Linked DNA regions of Diceros bicornis minor. The main gene of each other region encodes a partner of the protein of the gene in region 2 in a complex. Links are inferred from orthologs where the notes say so. Each region holds a gene or a part of one and is shown on either strand. Other genes may lie near its edges.

What was found.
Region 1: DRC1 (region 2) and DRC3 share a complex: the UniProt entries of both Homo sapiens proteins name them as parts of the nexin-dynein regulatory complex. The link is inferred for Diceros bicornis minor from reciprocal best matches to the Homo sapiens genes DRC1 and DRC3.

The regions. Positions count from the first base shown.
Region 1 is NC_080757.1:1,375,403-1,385,838, reverse strand, and holds the start of DRC3 (dynein regulatory complex subunit 3), read right to left. Parts: upstream 4,326-10,436; 5' UTR 4,070-4,325; intron 3,858-4,069; 5' UTR 3,788-3,857; intron 3,659-3,787; 5' UTR 3,545-3,658; intron 598-3,544; 5' UTR 593-597; coding exon 433-592; intron 1-432. Other genes in the region: TOM1L2 (TOM1-like protein 2), read left to right, coding at 5,039-5,090. UniProt on the Homo sapiens protein: Component of the nexin-dynein regulatory complex (N-DRC) a key regulator of ciliary/flagellar motility which maintains the alignment and integrity of the distal axoneme and regulates microtubule sliding in motile axonemes.
Region 2 is NC_080751.1:56,336,005-56,346,998, forward strand, and holds the start of DRC1 (dynein regulatory complex protein 1), read right to left. Parts: upstream 4,507-10,994; coding exon 4,352-4,506; intron 1-4,351. UniProt on the Homo sapiens protein: Component of the nexin-dynein regulatory complex (N-DRC) a key regulator of ciliary/flagellar motility which maintains the alignment and integrity of the distal axoneme and regulates microtubule sliding in motile axonemes.

The sequences.
Region 1 (10,436 bases), on a different chromosome or scaffold from region 2:
GACTACAATCATCCCATTTCACAGACAGGCACGCTGGGGCACTGAGGATCTGCCTGGGCCCCAGCCACGTCTTCCCACTCAGCTGTACTGCCACTTCTGAGGCACCTCCCTGCTGCATGGCCCTGGGCCCCTCCTGGCTCCCGCCCCTCTTCGGAAGCTGCTCTCCCAGTAGACATCCTCCTCCTCCCCACTGCTCCTGCCTGGCTGCTTGGGACCCCTCCCGGGTTCTGCCTGCCGAGGGGCGCGCTCTAAGGACATCCGTGTGGAGTCTGAGGTGGAAACAGAGTGACCTTTGTGGTTCACTTAGACTTGGAGTGGGAAAATTTTATCTTTTTATATGGACATTGTGTGGAATTCTGGGGCTCTGTAGAAGGTAGAGCAGAGAAAGCCGGGGCCCTGCTTGGTGCACCCACCCCACCCTGGGATACGCACTCTGGAAGTCCAGCTGCAGGGACAGGACATCCTTGAAGAGGATACCTTCCTGCTTGGCCAGCTGCCCAGCCTCGTCCTGTGGGCCCTGCTCCCCCACAGCCAGCTTAAGCATGTCGTCATCCATCACTCTCGGCTCCATCGAGTCGCACAGCCGGTTCATCTTCCCTGAAAAACACCACGTTCCTCTCCCACACTCCGCTTCTCCCTTTGTTGGAGGACCAGTTCTGGCTGAGGTCCTTGTAAGGTTGTGGAGCATCGTGGTGGCCAAAGACACTCTGAAATCCACCCTCCTCCCACTGGACCTAGGGGTTCATACATCTGCACGAAGGCTGCTCCAGGGCTTCCCCGGCAAACATCTGTACCCATCCTGCCTGGTGCCCATCCTCAGGGGTGCACCCCTTGGCCCCACAACCACAGCTGTGCCTCTACCCCAGAGAAGTGGACCGGTGTCCACACCGGTTTCTTGAGCCTCTGGAGCTCTGCTCCCTTACAGCCGGGGCCATCTCAGGCCTTTGGCTTTCTGTGCCCATCCTTGTTTGGGTTTCTTGGCACCAACCACTGATCATGACCCTTGGCAGCCCCAGCCAGGCATACCAGCCTGCAATGCCCCTTCTTTGAGAGCCTCATCCCTTCCAGGCAGTCATATGTGTACTCCCCACACACACATACCAGAAGCTGCCCAGTGCATAGGTGGATACTGACCCAAGCCGGCCATTCATGTCCTCCCACTGAGAAATTTGAGCTTGGGGCCAGAGGATGAGTGCCCATCAGAGCTGGCTGCTTGAGCTGGGGAGGAACTGGGGGACCGTGGACTGGCCAGGCACGTGGTTAAGCAGAGAGAGCAAGAGAGGGATGAGGCAGACAGAGAGAAGCAGAGATGGGATCCAGTAAAAAAAAAGACAAAAAGACAGACAGACTGACATAGAGACTGCCTTCTCCTTGCTAGCTTTCTGGCCCCTAATGTCCCTAATTCCAGGACCTGTGAGGGCTTCTTCCTCTCCTGTGAGAGTGTCCTGACTTCTCGCATTAAATCTTCTTTTACTTAAACTAACTCCAGTAGGTTTCTGTCGCTAACGGTCCAAGGGGATTTGGCTGAAATACCACAGGCAAAGGGGAAATCTGTGGACTTGTTCACTCACACTGTGAGGCTGACACTGGGCTGCTATTCCTGGCTGGACAAAGCCACAGCCCTGGGAAGCTGGGGTGCCTGACATCATTCTCATCACTAACCCTCTTAATGAGAACATCCAGAAGCGCTGGATGCTGCAGGAAGGCACCCTCTCCTATCAGTCTACTGGAAACTTCCAGATTCTGCCTCCTACACCCTGTGGAAACTAGGTCCTCCCTTCTGCTTTCCACCTCTGCTTCTCACTTCCCTGCCGGCTTCACCTTCTACCTTTGTCCAGGTGCATCCCCAATATCCTGGCCTCCCTGAACCTCCTGCCTTCTGGTCCCTGATGCTGGGCAGCCCCTGTGTTCTGCTCTTTATTCTACTGAGCGCTGTTGGAGAGACTCCTGGCGGTGGACTGATGGTGTCCACCGCAAACCCAGGTGGGCCTGGCAATCCTGCCACCTGGTCTTAGAGACTGCCACTGCCTGGCTGCCCTCCCTCCCTCCTCCCCCACCATCCACTTGGATGCAGCTTATGCACATATGCATCTTTCATTTCTGGACTGTCCACAATCAAATGTCCTAGTGCCTTTAACTCTTATGTGTCCTTTCTTTCTGTCCCCAGAGGAGGCACAGCCTCTCCTACCCACTACCTACACCCTCCTCCCTCCCCCCACACCCCTTTTCCACTTGTGCCTTCCATCTTCCCATTCTCTCCAATCTGTCAACACTGGCTCTATCTCCTTAGGGTGATTGATTCACCTCCTGAAGATGTTTCCAGTCCTCTGCCTCTCTCCATCTCCCTACTCTTCTGAAACAAATTTTTCCAAGATTTCCCATAGCTTGCCTTTGGGGAAATTTTACTGTGCTGCATTTGGCAGATGTTACCTGCAAAGTGTTTGTGTTTTTTTAAAGAAAGGTGCTGCACTTTGGGAAATGATTCTAAATTCTGATTTCAAAACTTTGACTTCTCATCCCTCCCACGTCGTCAAGGCCTGGCACCTGTGACAGATCAAGCTTGCCTTCAGTCAAGCCCGACAATGGCTATGCAACATGGAACAGCTGTTATGCACACAAGGGCAGGATTTGGATCCTGACTGTGCATCCTTTGGCAACTCACTTCACCTGTCTAAGCCCTCGATTTCCCATCTGTAAAAGATGAATAATTCCTCCTTCCTACATTTGTTTAAGATCATTTATTTAGTCCACACACGTAATGAATAGCTACTACATACTATGAATAAAACAGACAGATCTCCTTACCTCTGTTTCAGACATGAATCAGATAATCAAAGAAATGTTTAATTACAAACAGTGACAAGTTTGTAGGTGTAGGGAACTCTGACAGCATACATTAGGGGCACCTGGCCTGGCCGGAGGAGATGGGGCTGAGATCTGAAGGAGGAGTGGAAAGAAGAAAGGGAATCGCATAGTGAGGGCCCTGAGGTGGGAGAGAACAAGACATGTTCCACTTTGGCTGAAGCAACGCAAGGTTGAAAAGGTCGACAGGAGTTCAATTATTATCCTGGGACCCCTGGGAAGCTCCTGGGCCTTAATAAGAGCAGTGGCATGATCAGATTTTAATTTTAAGAAGCTCTCTCTGGCTGTAGTACTGAGAATGGCAAGAGTCGTGACGTGAGAGATGCCCAGGGTGGTTGGTGGTAAGATGTGGATTTGAGAGATCTCTAGGAACTTAATTTACATGCGGGACTGATCATCTGCAGTTTTCAGATAAGAAAATGGAAGCTAGTTAGAAAGGTTAAGTAACATGCACAAGTTTACACATGTATACGGCAGAGGCAGGAGAACATGACTCCAGAGCCCAATTTCTTAACCATGACTCAACTGTACCCAGGGTACTGTGGACTGTCACTGTCACAGCTCTAACATTGTCACAATGTTTCTCACAGCTGTTCTGGGTCAGGGCCAAGGCCCGAATTCTCTTCCCTTAAGAGGATTTTATCAGTAATTTACCACCCAATCTGGGTTCCTGTTGACTTGCCTGAGGACAGTGTTGTCACTGTAGATCAGAGGTTGGAGACGGGGAAGGCAGTGGAGAGTTTTACATCACTGTCAGTGGAGTAGCCTCCTCAGGAGAAACAGATCCAGAATTGTCCTGGGAAACAACCTGGGATTAATTGGATCTGAAAAATATAGCCCCTATTGGCGATGAATTAATAAGAAGAAAATCAACCATTTACTGAGTGCTTACTGGGTACTAAGTGCACATGTGTCATTTAATTACCTGTCAGCTCCGGACGCCATCAGAGAAGGGAGTCCTAATGCCCTAACTTCCCAGATGGGGAAACTGAGACCTGGAAGGGAAAGGAAATTGTCCACAGTCATACAAGGAACTACTGACAAGAGACAGACATGGAACTTGAGTATCCATATTCCCACCCAAAGCACTTTATACAGCACCAAGATGAAGAATAAAAATAAGAGAAATAATTTAACGACAGTTAAGAGGTCGGATATGAGGATTAAATTCTTGAAGAAGTTATCAGTGGATCTTTCTTTCGGGTACCTTTGTTTCTACGAAAGGGATCAGGCCAGGAGGCTGGGAGATGGAACCCCTTAAACATCTCTTCGAGCCCTGCTCCCCAAGGAAATGCTTCCTTAGCCTTTTTTTCTCATCCGCAGGCCTGAAAGCCCGGGTACTAGCGTTCTGACTGTCTCAGCGCCGCTGCAAAGTGGCTGGCAGGGGATCTGTGTGCTCATTTTGCAGATGATAAGGGCCGGCCGCACTTCTCGGAGTAAAAGGTCAGAGAATTACGTCGGGGCGCTGTCTGCCCCTGCGAGTCCTCCCGGAACCTCAGCTTCGGATCTCACCTTCTCAAGCGCGGGCTACCGGGCTGGTTCCACGCAGCAGCCACTTTGCCCGGTTGCTAGGGAAACCAAGCGCCACCACTCCGTTGCTAACGGGAAGTCAGAAGATTGACATCCTGAGTGAAAGTTGAGGGGGCACGTGACCACGTTTCTGGGCGGGGGAATACTCCTGCCACCAACCAGCCGGAGAGAAAACAAATGTTTCTCCAATCAGCACTTTCTACGGGCGGGGATATACTTAGCCCCGCCTCTTCCCCGCCCCCTATTTGAGTGATTGACTCGTCTGTTCTCCAATAATCATAAGGATTCCCTAGCTTGACCAATATATAAAGGAATCAAAGCGCACAAACTCTCGTTCGGAGGCGGGCCAGGGGCGGTGTCACTACGCCTGAGGGAGGTTCCTGTGACTGAGCTCACTCCTCCGCCCAATCGGACAGCGCGGGGTAGGTGGGGCTTCGCTCGGGAAGCCGTAGGGCCCAATCGGAGGAGGGCAGGGCAGGCGTTGCCCAATAGGGACGCGACAAGGGGGCGGGGTCAGGGGCCGCGCGTTCGGCGCTCTAGAGGGTGGGGCGGGGGCAAGTGTCAGTCAGGTCGGGAGCGCGGCGGGGTACAGCGGAGACCAGCCGGCTAACAGGGCTCTGGACGGCTGCCGTGCTGACCGCTCAAGATGGAGTTCCTCCTGGGCAACCCGTTCAGCACCCCGGTGGGGCAGTGCCTCGGTAAGGCCGCGCGAAGGGAGGGCGTCTGGTTGGGCGACGGCGGCGGCTGACAGGGCCGGAGAGGACCACGGGCCTCTGCGGGCACCGGGGCCACCTCCTGGTCGCCGGGCCCCTGCCCGCGGGCGGGCCGGGCCTGCTCACGGCGTCGGTGCCACCCTGCCAGGCGGCGCCCCGAGGCCAGCTGGGACTTGGAGATGCTCCGCGCGGCCCTCCCCCTCGGGGCCCGGCTCCCCCCGGCTCCTGGAGGTGGTGCCCGCGCTGTCGGCCTACCCCGCGCCTCCTGGGAGATGCCACTGCGTGCGCCCTTGTCCAGCCCGACAGTCTCGCTGCCACTGCCGCCGGGACCCGGTTCTCCCAGACGCCTCTCCCTGCATCCCTGCTCCTCCTTTTCAGACCAGCAGCCCGCGGACTGGGCACCCTCCCAGAGAACGCTCCCTGCCCTGAGACTTGCTAATTAGAGCTGCAACTCGGCTAGGCTAGGCCGTAGGAGGGACTGGGAAGGGGGAGGGGTTCCTAGAGGGTGACGATCTTGGCAGGGGGGCTGGCATGCCTGCACTGCCTCCGGGAAGAAGGGGGGCCGTGCTATTCAATGATAAGAGCCCTGGACTGGGAATCAGGAAGCCTGGGCTCCAGTGGAGCCTTTGCCAGTTATCCTCCCTATGACCTTGCCCTTTCTGGCTTCACGTTTTTCCTGTCTGTCAAATGAGGTGTTTGGAGGTGAGATGTGGTAGGTCCCTTCAAATGCTCAAGTTTTGATAGTCCTTGTAGCAACCTCTGCACATTGACTGTTGCTTTCTTGCTACATTAAATTTGCCAAAGATGAAATCTTTTGGTGGCAGTGTAGAGAGAGGGGTACTTGGCAGTACCTGTTAATCCTATAGGGGGCTCTGGGTCCCCGGAAGAGGGCACCAGAGATGACCAGTATCCTGGGTAAGGAAAGCCCAAGGCTAGTGAAGGGACACCTGTGTGGCCACCATATGAGATTTCCTTACTGAAAAAGCAACTTGCCTTTTCACCCAAGGCAGGAGCTTATGCCAAGTGCTCAGTCAAGAACGTTGATTAGTTTCTTTTAAAACTGAGTTCCTCCTGGTTTGTGGAGGGGCTGGTAAAAGGTCTTTTATCAGCAGGGAGCTTTGGTGTCCTTATGGGCCTGGCTGGTTTGGGCAGAAGTGACTTGTTTATTTTCTGCTTTACTTATGAATTTCCAGCTTATGTTTCAGCCTTGAGTGGGGCCTGTGAAATTACTGAGGTCTCTTCTGTTGGCTAGCTGGCATTTGGGAGCCTTTCTTTTCTCTGTGGTGAAACGTCTTTGGTAAGGGATGGTGGACACTGGGCTTGGGAAGAGTCTTTTCCCATCTCTGTGGACTACCTCCCGTGTTCCTCTAGGTTTTCACGCCCCTTTCTTCCTCATTTCCTTTCCTCAGGTGTTCGTTCACTGCAGCCATACTCCAAAAACTAATTTCTCAGTTGGGTGTTGAATTCCAACCAGTTTTTGGAGGGAGCCAGTAAGCTTGGGGGATTTTTTTTTTCTTTTCTGTCTCTTTTACAGTAGGAAGCTCTACACCTTTGAAATGCCAAGGTATTTGATGAGGGGTAGAAGTTAAAGGGGATTTAAAAATATACAAATATAAGGGATGTAGGGGAATGTAGTGAATGGAAAGAGCATGATGCTTCTGTCAGGAAGACCTGAGTTGAATCTTACCTTGTCCATTTGTTGGCTGTGTGACCCCAGAAGATTGTGTAACCCTTCTGAGCCTTAGTTTGCTGAGAGAGAGAGGTTGATAGGTACTCACAGAGTAGTGCGGCTTAAGTGAGATGATGCGTGTCAACTCTTACCACAGTGCCTGGAACACAGCTGAGGCTCAGTGAACTGGGGCTGTCACTGCTCACACAGAATCATGAAGTTAGGGCTGGATTTTCTCCCTGGAGAGGATATGAGGGACAGCTGGCCTGTCTGTGACCTGTGAAGGAAAATACCCTTCCAGGCCCCAGCATCCACCATCCCTTATAACAGACACTGGACCACAAAGGGAATGAAGCCTCCTCATTGCCACTTAGTCAGCAGGCAAGGCCTAGGTCATTTCACAGTCAGTTCAGTTCTGATCAATGATTAGAGGACAGAATGAGGTACTAATGTCTATTCTGTACTGTTGTGACAAAGTGTAAAAGTGGCTTTCTTGACATGTAGTATTGTTAGTATTCTTTTAAAAGTATGTGCTGGGGGTTGATGGGAGGGAGGGGCATACAGAAATAAAACAACCGCAGAGCTAATGATGAAATGCAGCAGTGATAGCTTACACACAGCAGTTCTACAGCCATTGTTTGCTCCTTACAGCTGCTCTGTGAAGTGGGTTTTATTGTCCTTCTCACTTTAGAGATGAGGAATCTGAGGCTCAAGGAGTGAAGGGATGGCTCAGCTGGTAAGAGGGAGAGCTGGGATTTCACAACTGTCCCGGTCCTCAAGGGCTTTCTGGTGTCAGGGGAGAGAAGAGAGGTGTATGGAACAATGACGACTAACAGAAGGCCACTCCGTAGCTCAGTGCTCAGTCGAGTGGTGGGGACTGTCAGTGCTGTTTGGAGTCCAAAGGAATTCAGAAGAGCCGGGGGGGTGGGATTGGCTTCCTTGAGTCCAAGGGCTGTTCATGAGGATGGGTGTGACTTCTCCAGTGAGAGAAGGAGACATCTATGCCTGGGGACAGGTAAAGGAGGCAGGAAGGGTGTGGGCACGTCTGTGAGCGCCAGTCTGAGGGGAACAGAGGTGGCTGTGGGCAACAGTGGCAGGTACGCTTTTGGCCCAGGGTGAAGCCCTGTTCTGGCTGGGTGACATCAAAGACGAGATTCTTTAGCTGACTTCAGCTTTTACTCTCCCTGAACCTTATTTTCCTCAAAAAAGAATACCTCTCAACAGCTGCACAGGGCTTGGACCTAAATAATTCCATCAGTCCAATTCAGGAGGCGTTTTGAGTGCCTGTGGAGTGCCAGGCTCTGGCATACAGATATTAAAGAGTTGCTGTCAGGGAGCCTTCAGCAGAGGTATCACGTCACCAAAGGTATCCTGGAGCTGCAAAGCAGTAGGCTCCTAGTCTGAGTGTCAGTAGAGTAATTGTTACTTTGTCTCCTGCCTGGGCCTCACAGGCACATTCTGACTTGGTGCTGTTTGCTCAAAGACACAGTCTGCCCTCTTGAGCTAGCAGCTAAGCCCACAGTCTGACTTGGTCATCTGTGCAATTCTCACGTCAGCCCTGCCCCGGAAGGTGGCTCCTGAGTAGGATGCGTCGTTCCGGACAGAGCTGCAGTGGTGTACGAGCCTAAGGAGTGTGGAGAAAGAAAAAGCACTTACTTTTATTTCCTGATTTTTCTCTCCTGAAACAAGTTTCAGAACGTTACTGTCTTGTCTCAGCCCTGCACGACCGCTGGGATTTGGATGACCGCTGGCGTTGGATTCACACGTCAGGAGTTCCCTGAGTCAGGGCCATGGTGCTCTGCAGGTGTCTGCGGTTTTCCTTGTGGTGGCTGGAAAACACTTTCAGATAATCCTTTTCCAAGAGTCAAGTTTGGGTTCATTTAGGTTAAAGGATCAGAGAGTAGCTAGTTAACTCTGAACAGAATATTGGGGGTGGGCAGGGAAGATCATTTATTCTCTTCGTGGTTCTGCTTTAATAAACGTGTAAGCAGCAGATATTCTGTTGTGGGTTTGTGTTTGCAGATTGGATGGTGTTGGACGTAAACTGCTTCCTAGTGCCCTGTGAATGCTAGCGTTTGACTCTAGTGTGGCTGTTTGTACCAAGGCTGATTAGTCGTCCCTCAGATTGCTATGGCAGTTGGCAATTCACAAAGCCCTTTTGCTTCAATCTTTTTATTTAGTCTTTACAACCCTGTGAGATACACAGGAAGAGAACCGAAAGGAACTTATAATTATTAAGCCCCACTCTGTACATGGGATCGCTTTTTTTTTTTACTGAGGAAGATTCGCCCTGAGGTAACATCTGTTGCCAATCTTCCTCTATTTTGTGTGTGGGTCACTGGCACAGCATGGCCACCGACGAGTGGTGTAGGTCCCCGCCTGGGAACTGAACCCGGGCTGCCAAAGTGGACCATGCTGAGCTTAACCACCAGGCCCTTAATCCCCTCAACATTTAATTATTTGAGGGCCAGCCCGGTGGCGTAGCGGTTAAGTTTGTGTGCTCTGCTTCGGCAGCCCAGGGTTCGCAGGTTCGGATCCTGGGCGCTGACCTATGCACTGCTTATCAAGCCATGCTGTGGTGGTGTCCCATACACAAAACAGAGGAATATGGGCACAGATGTTAGCTCAGGGCTAATCTTCCTCACCAAAAAACACAAAATCTTAAAAAAAAAAATTGGGGCTGGCCCCGTGGTGTAGCGGTTAAGTGCGCACTCTGCTGCTGGCAGCCTGGGTTCGGATCCCAGGCGTGCACCAATGCACCACTTGTCAGGCCATGCTGTGGCAGCGTCCCATATAAAGTGAAGGAAGATGGGTACGGAGGAAGATTAGCCCAGGGCCAGTCTTCCTCAGCAAAAAAAGAGGAGGATTGGCATGGATGTTAGCTCAGGGCTGATCTTCCTCACAAAAAAAAAAAAAATTATTTGAGTGCTGTTGTCCCTGTATTGCTTATAAGGAAGTTGAGAGGTTGAGAGACTTGTGCAAGGTCAATACCAGAGTTAAGCCTAGAATCCGCTCCTGATCCAGTGCTCACTCTGTGCTGTCATGTTGCCTCTGGCTCTATGGATCCCATGATTCAGGGCATTGGGAGCACCTTGAGGGCTTGTTAAAACAGATTGTTGGGCCCCACTCTCAGGGTTTCTGATTCCCTAGGTCTGGCAAGGGGTCTCACATTCTACGTTTCTAACATGTTCCCAAGTAATGCTGATGCTGCTCCAGGCACCACACTTTGAAAACTGTTGCTCTAGATGAGAAGTTCTGCCTCTTTGATCTCTTCTTTATCTTTCTTCAAACATTAAATGTGGGTTTTCTTATGGACAGACTGTAAGTATGATTATTTAGAGTTCATTCATTCATTCAGTGGCTGTATATTGACTGTAGATTCCAAGCTAAGTATTTACCAGGACGTTCAGTCTACTAAGGGAGCTAAGACAGGTACCTAAATCAGGTAAGACAGAAAGTGGTGGCATGAGATTGGACAGATAAATGAAGTAAGGGGATGGAGGAGGGAAGGAGTTACCTCCAGTAGTAATAATAATAGGTAAAGGATTTTGCTTTTTTTAAAGTTCAGTTTTGTATTACTATGTGCCAGAGACTAAAGTAGGCACTTTATATATGTTGCAGTCCTTTAATCCTCACAACAATACTCTGAGTAAGGTACTGTT
Region 2 (10,994 bases):
ACTTCAGTGCGGGATAATCTACTTGGACTGTTTTGTGGGCAATCCTGGACGTCAGTGTCTTTAAGTCCCTTCTTTTGGGCTGGTCAGATTCTGCAGAGACTTCTCCAATCTCCTGTCTGCGATATGAAGGTCGAACCCCCAGCGCTCCAGGAACAGGGAGGAGGAGGAAGATCTCAGCTCTAGTATATACACATTCACTGAATCCCCTTGTTTTTAGCACAGTATCCCTGCCTCTTCTCTGTCTACCATCCCCCAAACCATAGATCCTCTGTTTTACTTTCTCCAAACCTCCAGTCTTCTATGCAAAGTGGGAGAAAGGTTCTTGCCATCTAACTATTAATTTCCAATCAATTCTCCTTATTTTAGTCCCTGTCTTCACCCCTACATCCAGATGAACCTGACGTTACCAACTTCCTAGTCTTTTAGAGATTTACCTCAAAGTAATTCAGGGGGCTCTCAGCTTTCCTCACGACCGGTTTATATTTCCATATTCTTGAATCTGCTAAGCCATTTACCATCTGTCCCTATGCTTCCCAGCTTCCAAAATTTTGTTGCTGTTGAGTCCTCCTGTTTTTCTTGTCTTTGTGAGTTTATGTCTCTTTTTTACTTAATCCCTTTAAATGTCATTTTAATGGAGTTTTGATAGAGAGCCAAAGTACATGTATGCATTCCATTTGCCTTCTTTTCTCAGAAGTGACATCTTCCAGAAATTTGAAACTTCAATTGAGACGAGAGATTGGGAGTTTTGAGGGTGTTACCTATTAACCCTACTCTTTATCTTTATATGACATTTGATTCTGTTAACAGCTTTCTCCCTAAAACTACACCCCATTGACATACCAAGGCTCAGGCAGTAGGGCAGTGGGCACCAGAGGCAATCAAGGAGACTATAGATAATGTTAAAACAATACAACTGACTAAAAGTCAGTCTGCTTTTTATTATCACCATGTGCCAGCAACAAAACAATGTCAGTGATAAAACTTCTTTCCGGGGGCCAGCCCTGTGGCCTAGTGGTTAAGTTTGGCACACTCCACTTCGGTGGCCCGGGTTCAGTTCCCGGGTGCGTCAGCCATGCTGTGGCAGCGACCCACATACAAAATAGAGGAAGACTGGCACAGGTGTTAGCTCTGGGCTAATCTTTCTTAAGCAAAAAGAGGAAGATTGGCAACGGATGTTAGCTCAGGGCAAATCTTTCTCAGCAAACAAACAAAAAAAAAAACACTTTTTCTTGGAAAATCTTTTGTTAATCTAAGTTCTAAACAATTGCTCAGTTACTGTTGATTTTAATAATATATATATAAGCTTCAATGTAGCAACTTTTTATTCCTTATCCTCTAATTAACAAAGAAGTTACTTCAGAGAACTTGCAGTTATCCAGTTGGCCTCTGACACACATGACCCCAGCTGCAGGCATGTGTTCTGAGAGCACATCTGAAATGGTTCACAACTGTCCCAGCTCTCTCAGGCACAGCGTACCCCTGAGATACTACATATCCTTGCAGAAAAGAGACATGACATAAACAACAAGAGCCCAGTTATTGAAAACACAGAGAAACCGAACTTGAGTTATTTCAATTCTATCATTCTATATGCAACTCGTTCTCTAAACCTTGCAGAATTCATTCTTTTGGAAACATTTCTTCATATGATTTCTTCCTTTTTTTCCCAAAAATACATTAATGTAATTTAAAAGTATTGATCCATTAGCTTTTTCTTGTTTTGTACTGTAAATTTTATTTTAAAAAATTTTATTGGCATGGTTATATAAACAAAGTTCAATAAACTTTTCTTTTCAGGCTATTATTATTATCTGTACTTTAAAAATTACCTGCTCCAGGTGTTAACTTCATTAGGTACACCACTGCATCTCACAGATTTGTTTTTTCACCAGCATCAATTGGCCATTCTAACCCCATCTTCATATGACAGAGATGACCCTTTGTCAATGTTTCCTCTGCTATCAACTTCTAAATGCTGGGCTTTTTCGGGGCTTGGTCACGAACTCTCTTCTCATCTCTTTTTATCCTCTTTCTCAGTGTAATTTAATTCAGTCCCATGGTTTTAAATACAATCATAAGGCTGCTGACTCTTTGCACTAATATCTCTAATGCAGAATTCTCTTCTGCATTTAAGACCCATATCCAGCTGCCTATCGGACATCTCAATTTTAATGTCTTACAAAATCCAACTTTGCTTAATATGTTCAAAACCAAACTCTTGATTTCCAATTCCAGCCTCACTACCCCCATCACTGTCTTTACCCTCTCAACGAAAGGCACTACCATCTACCTAAATGCTCAAGCCATTCTTGCTTTTTCCCTGTCTTTTACCAGCATATCCAATCAATCAGTAAATCCAGTCAATTTCAACTCCAAAATATGTCTTGAGTACATCTGTTTTCTCTCCAAACCCACTGCCACTAACTAGCCCAGACCAACTTCATCTCTCACCTGGACCAATGCAACTGCTTCCTAACTAGTCTCCTTACTTTCACTTCTGGCTCCTCCAAACCATTCCCCAAAGAGCCACCAGAGTGATCTCAACATACATAGAAATTTAAGAAACTCCCACATTAGGTCCTTGGTCTGTAGGTAAGAGCTATCATGGTGTGGAAGGCAAAATGGGCCCCTCCGAAACTGCATTTGAGTGCATAAAATAACAATATCGCAGACCAGGGGGATGGTGGGGATTAGTGTCACCCTTAAAGATCTCAAGGATGCAGGAGTGGTGGTGCCTATCAAGTCTGCATTTAATTCACAGGTCTGGCCCCTGCAAAAACTGCATAGATCTGAGAAAATTATCGTCAATTACTGCAAGCTCAACCAAGTAGCAGTCCTGATGGCAGCTGCCTTGCAAGTGCCATGCAGCCTTTACTAGAGCAGATCGGTGTGGCCTTAGGTGCATGGAACGTGGCCACTCATTGACCAAATGCATTATTTTCTACCTCAATCAGGAAAAAGGATCAGGAAGTTCCCATTTACATGGAACAGATAATAATATATACTCACATAGCCCTCACACTCACAAGGCCATGTTAATTCTCCCGATCTCTGTCAAAATATAGTCTGAACAGATCAGGACCATCTGGACATTCCACAGAATGTCACAGTGATCCATTACATCAGGGTTGGCAAACAACAGCATGTGGACCAAATCTGACCCACCTGTTTTGTATGGCTTACAGGTGAGGATTTTTACATTTTTAAACGGTTTTTTAAAAAGATCAAGATGAATAAGCAGAGCACAGAGGATTTTAGGGCAGTGAAACTATTCTGTATGATACTACAATGGTGGATACATGTCATTATATATTTGCCAAAATTCAGAGAACACCGACAGTGAACCATGATATAAACTATGGACTTTGGGTGATAATGATGTGTTAATGCAGATTCATCAATTGTAACAAATGTACCACTCTGGTAGGGGATGTTGATAGTGAGGGACATTAAGCATGTGTGGGGGCAGGAGGTACATGGGAAATCTCTGTACTTTACCTTTAATTTTTCTGTCGAACCTAAAATTGCTCTAAAAAAATGAAGTTTATTAATGTAGAAACAAAATCGAAATATGAAGAATATTTTGTGACACGTGAACATTACATGAAATTCAAATTTCAGTGTCCATGAGGAAAGTTTTGTTGGAATACTGCCATGCCACTTTGGGCCCCTTGTGTCCGATGGCCAGCAGACAAGAAGAGAAGTCCCATCTTGGCAGCGCAGCTGACCCTGACCAGCAGGACAAGGTATAAGTGCTGTTACACAGTGAGAGTGTTAAGGAATTCAGGGGATCACGCAGTGTCTCTTGGTACCCCATTATGACAGCCCACTGTGTCTGCGAATGGACAAGGGCAGCAACTCTTGCCTGAGAAGGGTATGGTTATCAGTCTCAGACCCTTTGGGAATGAGGGTTTGTGTCCACAAGCAGATAAGCCACTGAGACCAGCAGAAGTGGTAGCTGAGGTCCACTGGATACATACTTGTGGAAGGGAGGCAGGCTGGGAAGGAAGGAGGAAAGACAGACCCCTGAGGGCTAGTGGTGGATCTCCTGCATCTTCGGTGGATTGCCCACAGTGTCTGGCACGGCGGGCTCTCAATAAAAGTGCAGACGGGATTATTATTTCCGTCTTTGACTTTACTAGTGTGTTGAACATTCTAATATCCCATACTTTACTTGAACCCTCTGGAAGAAATGTTTTCCATTTCATCAATCAACAAAGCCCGCTCACATTTGGGGCACGCCGAGCCCTCCCACAGGGGCGCCCGCCCCGGGAAGCCATGCCCTCATGCCCCGCACTGCGTCACCGGCACTCCAGGCGCTCCGCGGTCGGACCGCCCAGACCCCGCTCACCGCCTCCGAGCTTCCAGGCGCGCCGCGATGCGGAGGCGCCGGGCCTGGATCCGCTCCTGAGGGTTATCAGAGTGTATCGAGGGCCCGAGAATCGGGGTCGATAAGTGTTCCTCCTCCTTCTCCTCCAGCACCCCCAGCGATCCCGGCGGATTCATAGCGGATGCCTCCCGCCCCCCAGGCAGCCCCGCCCCACCACCGCCAGACCGCAGCCCCGTTGGTAGCAACAAGCCGTTGCCAGGGAAGAGCAGTCACGTGACCCGCAGCTGCAGTGATTGCGCGCGCAGCTCAGGCCCCGCCCACCGGCATTCCGAACGCTGTAGCGCAGATTCGGGTTTCGTTCTCTTCTGCAGTTGGGATGTAAGTACCGTCTTGAGCCCCCACCAAGGCCCAGTCGTATTAGCGGAGCCTGGAAGACTGAAGAGCTGGACCAAGTGTAGTTCATCACTTACTCACCCCGATTATTAATTCACCATTCATTCATCAAATGAATATTCCTCAAAATCATATTCATCAAATATAATTGAGCACCTACTCTGTGCCAAACTGTGCTAGAGCTGAGGATACAAGCGTTGTCCTTTCCTCATGGAGGGTGCAGAATAATAGGTCTACTCTGAGCCTATTGCCTCTTCAGATACTTTGAACTAAAGTATATTGTATACATCTATTCGTCATCCATTCATTTTTGAGCTACTTTGTGCATTGAGCCCCTATCTTTTCTAGAATGTGCAACCACTATCATTAAATTTATATCCAGCAAGGGATTGTTGTCTTCTGTAGCCATTTTCAGTAGGGCTGAAACCTAGGAGAATCCCACCATCACCACTTCCAATCACACGCTTATACACAGAGGAAAATAGTGAGGGCGGGGATGGGCGGTGGGGTACAAATGAAAGTTAAGAGCGCAGAAGCACAATTAAACTCTCAAAGAAGCACCATCCCTTGAAAAAGCACTATATCCTGGGCGTTTTTTGTGTCTCATTGCCAACAAAAAAGTGTTCTTATTGAAAATTAAAACCCTTTCAAAAACAAACTGGATAACGTTTGACGGAGTCTTGTCACACTGTCCTGTGGGAAACTCGGGAAAGGGCGCTGGAGCAGTGAGAAAATGCAGGTAGTAGTCCTAGACCTGCCCTGCAACCTCAGGTAAGTCGCAACTTCTTGAGGACCATTTTCTCAACTGTTATATGGTACCATCTGCCTACTCAACTCACATGCAATTGTGAGGCCAAAGAAGATAAGCTCTTTGTGAATAAGACCTACCCAGAGTCAAATGGAGTACTTTTTTTTTTAATTAATTTTTCCAAGTCTTCAAGTGGTAGAGAGATTTAGGAGTGCCAAAATCTTGCAGCAGCCGAGTCCAACAGCTGCCTGGATCCTTGTCCCATATCTAGCCCAGGGTGGGGGAGGGGATGTTTGCTTCAGGGTCCTCTGCCAAATCTCTCTCTTCTGGCTGTAACCTCAAGCGTTAAACTTCCCTAGGGGCCATGGAATCAGAGGAGCAAGGTATAGTTTTGACCTCGAACTCTTCAAGGTTCTGGTCTGTGTTTCTACCATCTGTGAGAAGAGAAACAAATACACGTGTGTGTGCATGTCTATGGCTGGGAGCAGGATACCCTGAAAGTCAGTGGGAACCAGCTGTTACACCACAGATAGGTGAGAGAGCAGGGGTGCCACAAAACCCATGAAAAGTGATCAATGAGATACTCGGCCTTAGAGCTGTCCCCAGATACCTTCATTCCAGACATCTTTTGTAATGAATCTGACTCTTTTTTTTTTGCTGTTTGATTGTTGACAGCTTTTAAGCCTCACGCCTTTCTTCCTCTCTGCTCCAGATCCCGGCAGCTGATTAAAAGAAAGGAGGGAGGGGGCCTGGGTGCTCTCTACTTTGGCGCTGGCAGGAGGTTCCAACTGTGTGAGCTGGGTCCTCTCATCCCAGCCCCCACCGCCTAACCACAATGAAAGCCTCAAGACAGTCTCCTTTCCTGGCTCTCTCCAGCCATCTTCCAATCAGCTGGGACGTCTTCCTTGCTGTCACAGACAGCCTCAATTATGTAAGTAATAAAGCTTATTCATAGGTGTGGAAAAAAAGACACTCTCATTCACTGCTGGAAAGGCGTCTTTTAGGAGGACAGTTTGCCAATATCTGTTAACAGTTTAAATAAGCATATGCACTGACTAGGCAATTCTACTTATAAGAATTATCCTTGAGAGATAATAGGTCTAGGCTATAGCTCCATGGGGTCAAAATGACATCAGTTTTAGTCAGTACTGTATGTTCAGCACCTAGCCCAATACCTGATATGTAGTGAGTGCTCAACAAACATTTGCTGAATGCAAGAAATGGACACAAATGTATCGGTATGCTCACGGCAGTTATTACCCAGTTATTAAAAATTTATTTTATTAAATTTTTATTAATATTTATATTTATTTACAATAATTTGTATTAATTAATCAAATTTATTATCGTTATTAAAAAACTGGATATAACCCAAAATCCATCAACAACAGAACTGATAAAGCATTCATAGGATGAAAAACAATGCAGTCACAAAGAATGAATCTGACCTAGAAAGACATCCAAGATCTATTAAATGAGGAAGGAAAGATGCAGCACAAAGTGTAGAGTATGATCCCAGTTTTATTTGAAGTATATGTAGTATGTACACAAGAAAAACAGGGAAAGAACACAAAGTAGTTGATCTCTCTAGGGGTTGGGTCTATGGGTGGTTTTCATTCTCTATTCAAAAAAAAAAGTTTACAAAGAACACAAATCACTTTTGATGTAATAAAAAATAAAGTTTATTTATTCATTTATTATTTTTTTAAAGAGCAGTGACAGATCCTGAAGAGACTGCAGCAAGCAAGAGTAGTAGGGCTGTCACGGATGAGAGGAATTCGGGGAGGGATGTCGCTGAGGATTCACTAGCCTTCAGAGACTAGTCCTCATGTGGCAGGCAATTCTCCAAAAGCAGACCTGCTTTTGAGAATTGACTTATGCTAATACACTCATGAAAGAAAAATATATAGAGAATACACTAATTTGAGCAAGAAACTACAACTGACACACAGAGCATATGTGTTTTATGACTGTGACCAGCACATCTCCATGGCTGATCTACAAGGGACTCAAACTATAATTGGGAAGCTTCTTGATAATGGACAACAGACTGTGACAGACTCAGTGGCCTACAATGGGTATAACTTGCCACAAAGATTAGACAGGTCAAGTCCTTGAGGCATGGCACCCCCATGCCTCGGTAAGTTTTGGGTGATACATGCAAAACCTCCTGGCTATAGGGGCTTCCTTTGCTATGCTACAGGCTGGCCATCTACTTCAGCTTACAGTCTTTTTCCAGAAAAATAATGATACATTGGTTGGATTTTAGCATGCTACGTCAAGTCGCACACTTAATTCTACATCCATAAGGTTACATCAAATCACCTTAATTGGGGTTTGAGGATTCATCAAATATTTACATAATTTCTTGGTTTATTCCTATCTCCTAATGTGTGTGAATTTTACTAATAGATTCTCAGAAGGCAATCTTATTTTATTCTAGTTATTTTTAGAACTGCCTCACCATCATCTTCCTGTATTGCCTACAAAAGGTATGAAGGAAGGAACAGAGAAGGGAGGAGGAAGGAGGAAGGCAAGTCATGAGCAGGTCATAAGGCTGAGGAAAAAGTTCAAAGGTAAAAAACTGAGAACTAGGTATTACTAGAAACCGAGCACCTAGCTTAGACTACTCCTGTGCTGAACACTCTACATGCATTCTTCATAACACATAATTGTAGTAATATTCCTAATCCAATTTTACAGATGAGGAAACTGAGGCTTAGAGAAAATAAGTCACTTGCCCTGGGTCAAAGCTTGCAAAGTTGAACATGACTAGGAAATAGTCATTATAGTAAAGCTTTGGGAGGTCTTGAAAAACTTTCAGAAGAAAAGCAAGAAGAAAAATGGAAGAAGCAGTTATAAAGTTTTCTTTCAGAAAATTTGGAACAGAAGAAACAAGATGAGAGCAGGGAGAGAAGCAAGACACTTTGGGGCACAGGGTCTAAGTTTAATAGACCCAAGTGTGGTCACCTAGTACGCACCTGCAGGGTGTCAGGTAGGCGTGTGAGGTCTGCAGAGAAGGGAGGAACAACTGCCAGGGCAGCCAAGGGGTGGGCAGGGGATTAGGAATGGCCCGCCAAGAACTAGCTTGGGTTAAATATGGGACATTTCCTCCTCCACCTTCTTCAAACCTGTTACAATTTTTTTAAATGTCCACTGCCAGAACTGGGAGATCAATTCCGATGTAAAAAATAAGAAATATTCTCCTCGGAAGCAATGTTAGAAAATCAGAGTTTTTATAAGAGCTTATGGTTTACATACTGTAGTTTTGGTGTATTAAGTGTGGGTTAGTAGGTTCTTGTAGAATTAGCCTGGAAAATGAACTCTTTCTATGGGAAAATGTTTCTTGAGTATGAAACAACCACCTTACAAACTATTTAAGTGTGATCCAGTTATTATGACCCAGTATTATTACATATTGCCAGGACCAGTTCTGGGGGAGTTCGGAGCAGTATATTATGAATAGCTGTTACTGCCGCCTGCCTAGTACCCTGCTTTCTGAAACAAATCACAGGACTATGGAACACCCAGGAGCAAGCAGGCTGATCTTTATCTTAAACAAAACAAAAAAAAATCCTTTAATTGTTTTGCTCTAAAATAATCAATGATTCTCTGAGACAAGTGGCTGGATGTTAATTTTCTCCCCATAGGTCCCTCCCCTTTTGCACCTACCAAGGAAAAACAAAGACGACAATCCGAAAACCATTAAAAGGATTTAAAAATCATTTACTCTCTACTTTTATTACAATAAATATTTATCAATAATAGAATTAAACAATTTTAAATTAAAACCTACTGCATTACTTTTGGGTTTCACAGCAGCAGAAATAAACATAAATCCAGTTGTAAGGGCAAGGCTTCCAGAATTTAGTGGCAAGAAACAGTCAAGTCTGGATTATCTGGGCTAGCAATGGAGAACAGCAATACTGATGATGCAAAAATAATGAAGAAATGCATACCTGTACTCTATTTGTACATCATGTTATCTAGGACTTCACAACATTTCAGCTAAGGAATTTAAGCAAGTTGCGAAGGTCCATTTCTGCAAGAGCTAGATTTCTCCCCCATCAAGCCCATGAGCACAACTGCTCCCAGAGCTGGCCAGGAATGGGCCCCATCATCATGCAGACCCAGAAGCCTCAACCCTGGGGGAAGCAGCCATCTTTCTCAAAAGCTGTCTTTCTGGTTCACACAATCCCTGCTGAAAGGGAAATGGAAAGTGATACATTTCAAGGGCCTTTCTTGGGGACCAAGATGCACTGGAGGTAGGAAAGACTGGCTCCAGCTGAGGAAGAGACTTCATAGAGTTATGGGCTACATTGCAGATTAAGTCAACATGAAGCAACAGTCTGATGAGGCTTACCATTTTGCTCATAATCAAGAGTAGACTGCATGTACATATGAATATATCATACATATAAATGCACAGAGAATATAAGTGTACATATTAAATACGTATATATATATACACGCCACATAACCAGATAAAATAAATGCTACATTATTTACTATGAACACAGCAAGTCCTAGACAGACCAGTTACTAACATGTTCAGTTAAACTACTTGAAAGGGAAAGTAAGACTTTGTGCTCCTCTTCATCTTTTTCTCTCATATATTCTATTTGTAGCAAACACATTCCAGTTGCTTAAATGGTGTTGTTTCTAGGTACCTGAGAAGGGATGGGATCATCCTTTTGTTTCAGAATACTACAGAAGGCAAGCTGTAACAGGACCATGCTAACCAACTCAATAATTAATTCGGCCATGATTCTTGCCACCTATTCTTAGTCACAGGGCATGAAACCTTACTTAGAAAAGTATCAATTTCTTTTTCTACAATTGGCTACAAATTTAATGTTAGATGGGAGGGAAAGGGGAGAAGGCAGGCAGCGGGGAGTTTACACCACAACTATTCACAGCCTTCGCCCTTACCCAGAGGAAACGCTACTTTAAAAAAATATTGAAATTTGGAGTTTAATACTGAATTTTGTTTTCTCGGCACATTTCAGAATGAGCAAAACCATTACATATAGCTGAGTCTTTGTCTCCTAAATGGCTGCTCTAATGGGATAAGTTATCTAAACGAAATAACCTACAATAACTGTTAATATTGTGGGCGGTCTTAATTAATAGTTATTAAACTCAAAATCTGACACTGAATGATACCAGTAATTCAAAAAAATTTATAATGCAGCATTCACAGATCTTGTAAAATTAAAACAGGCTCCTTCTATAACCTGGTTAGTAACATCAAGTACTAACTAAACATGTTCCTAGTCAAGAACTTACTCTTTAGAGATTAAAAAGTGCTCATCAAAAATATCAGAATCTAGAATTCATGGTGAATTGTGAATTGTGTAAAAAACCAAAATCAATTCTAGTCTGAATTGTTACCCATAGAAACTGCTCAAGAGAAGACTTGAGCCAAAGAGCCGTAAGGCATCCACAACATTTAGCCACTCCTTGTGTCTTCAATATTGTCTCCAATTTCAATGTAGCATTAGATACTCTATGGCCATGATC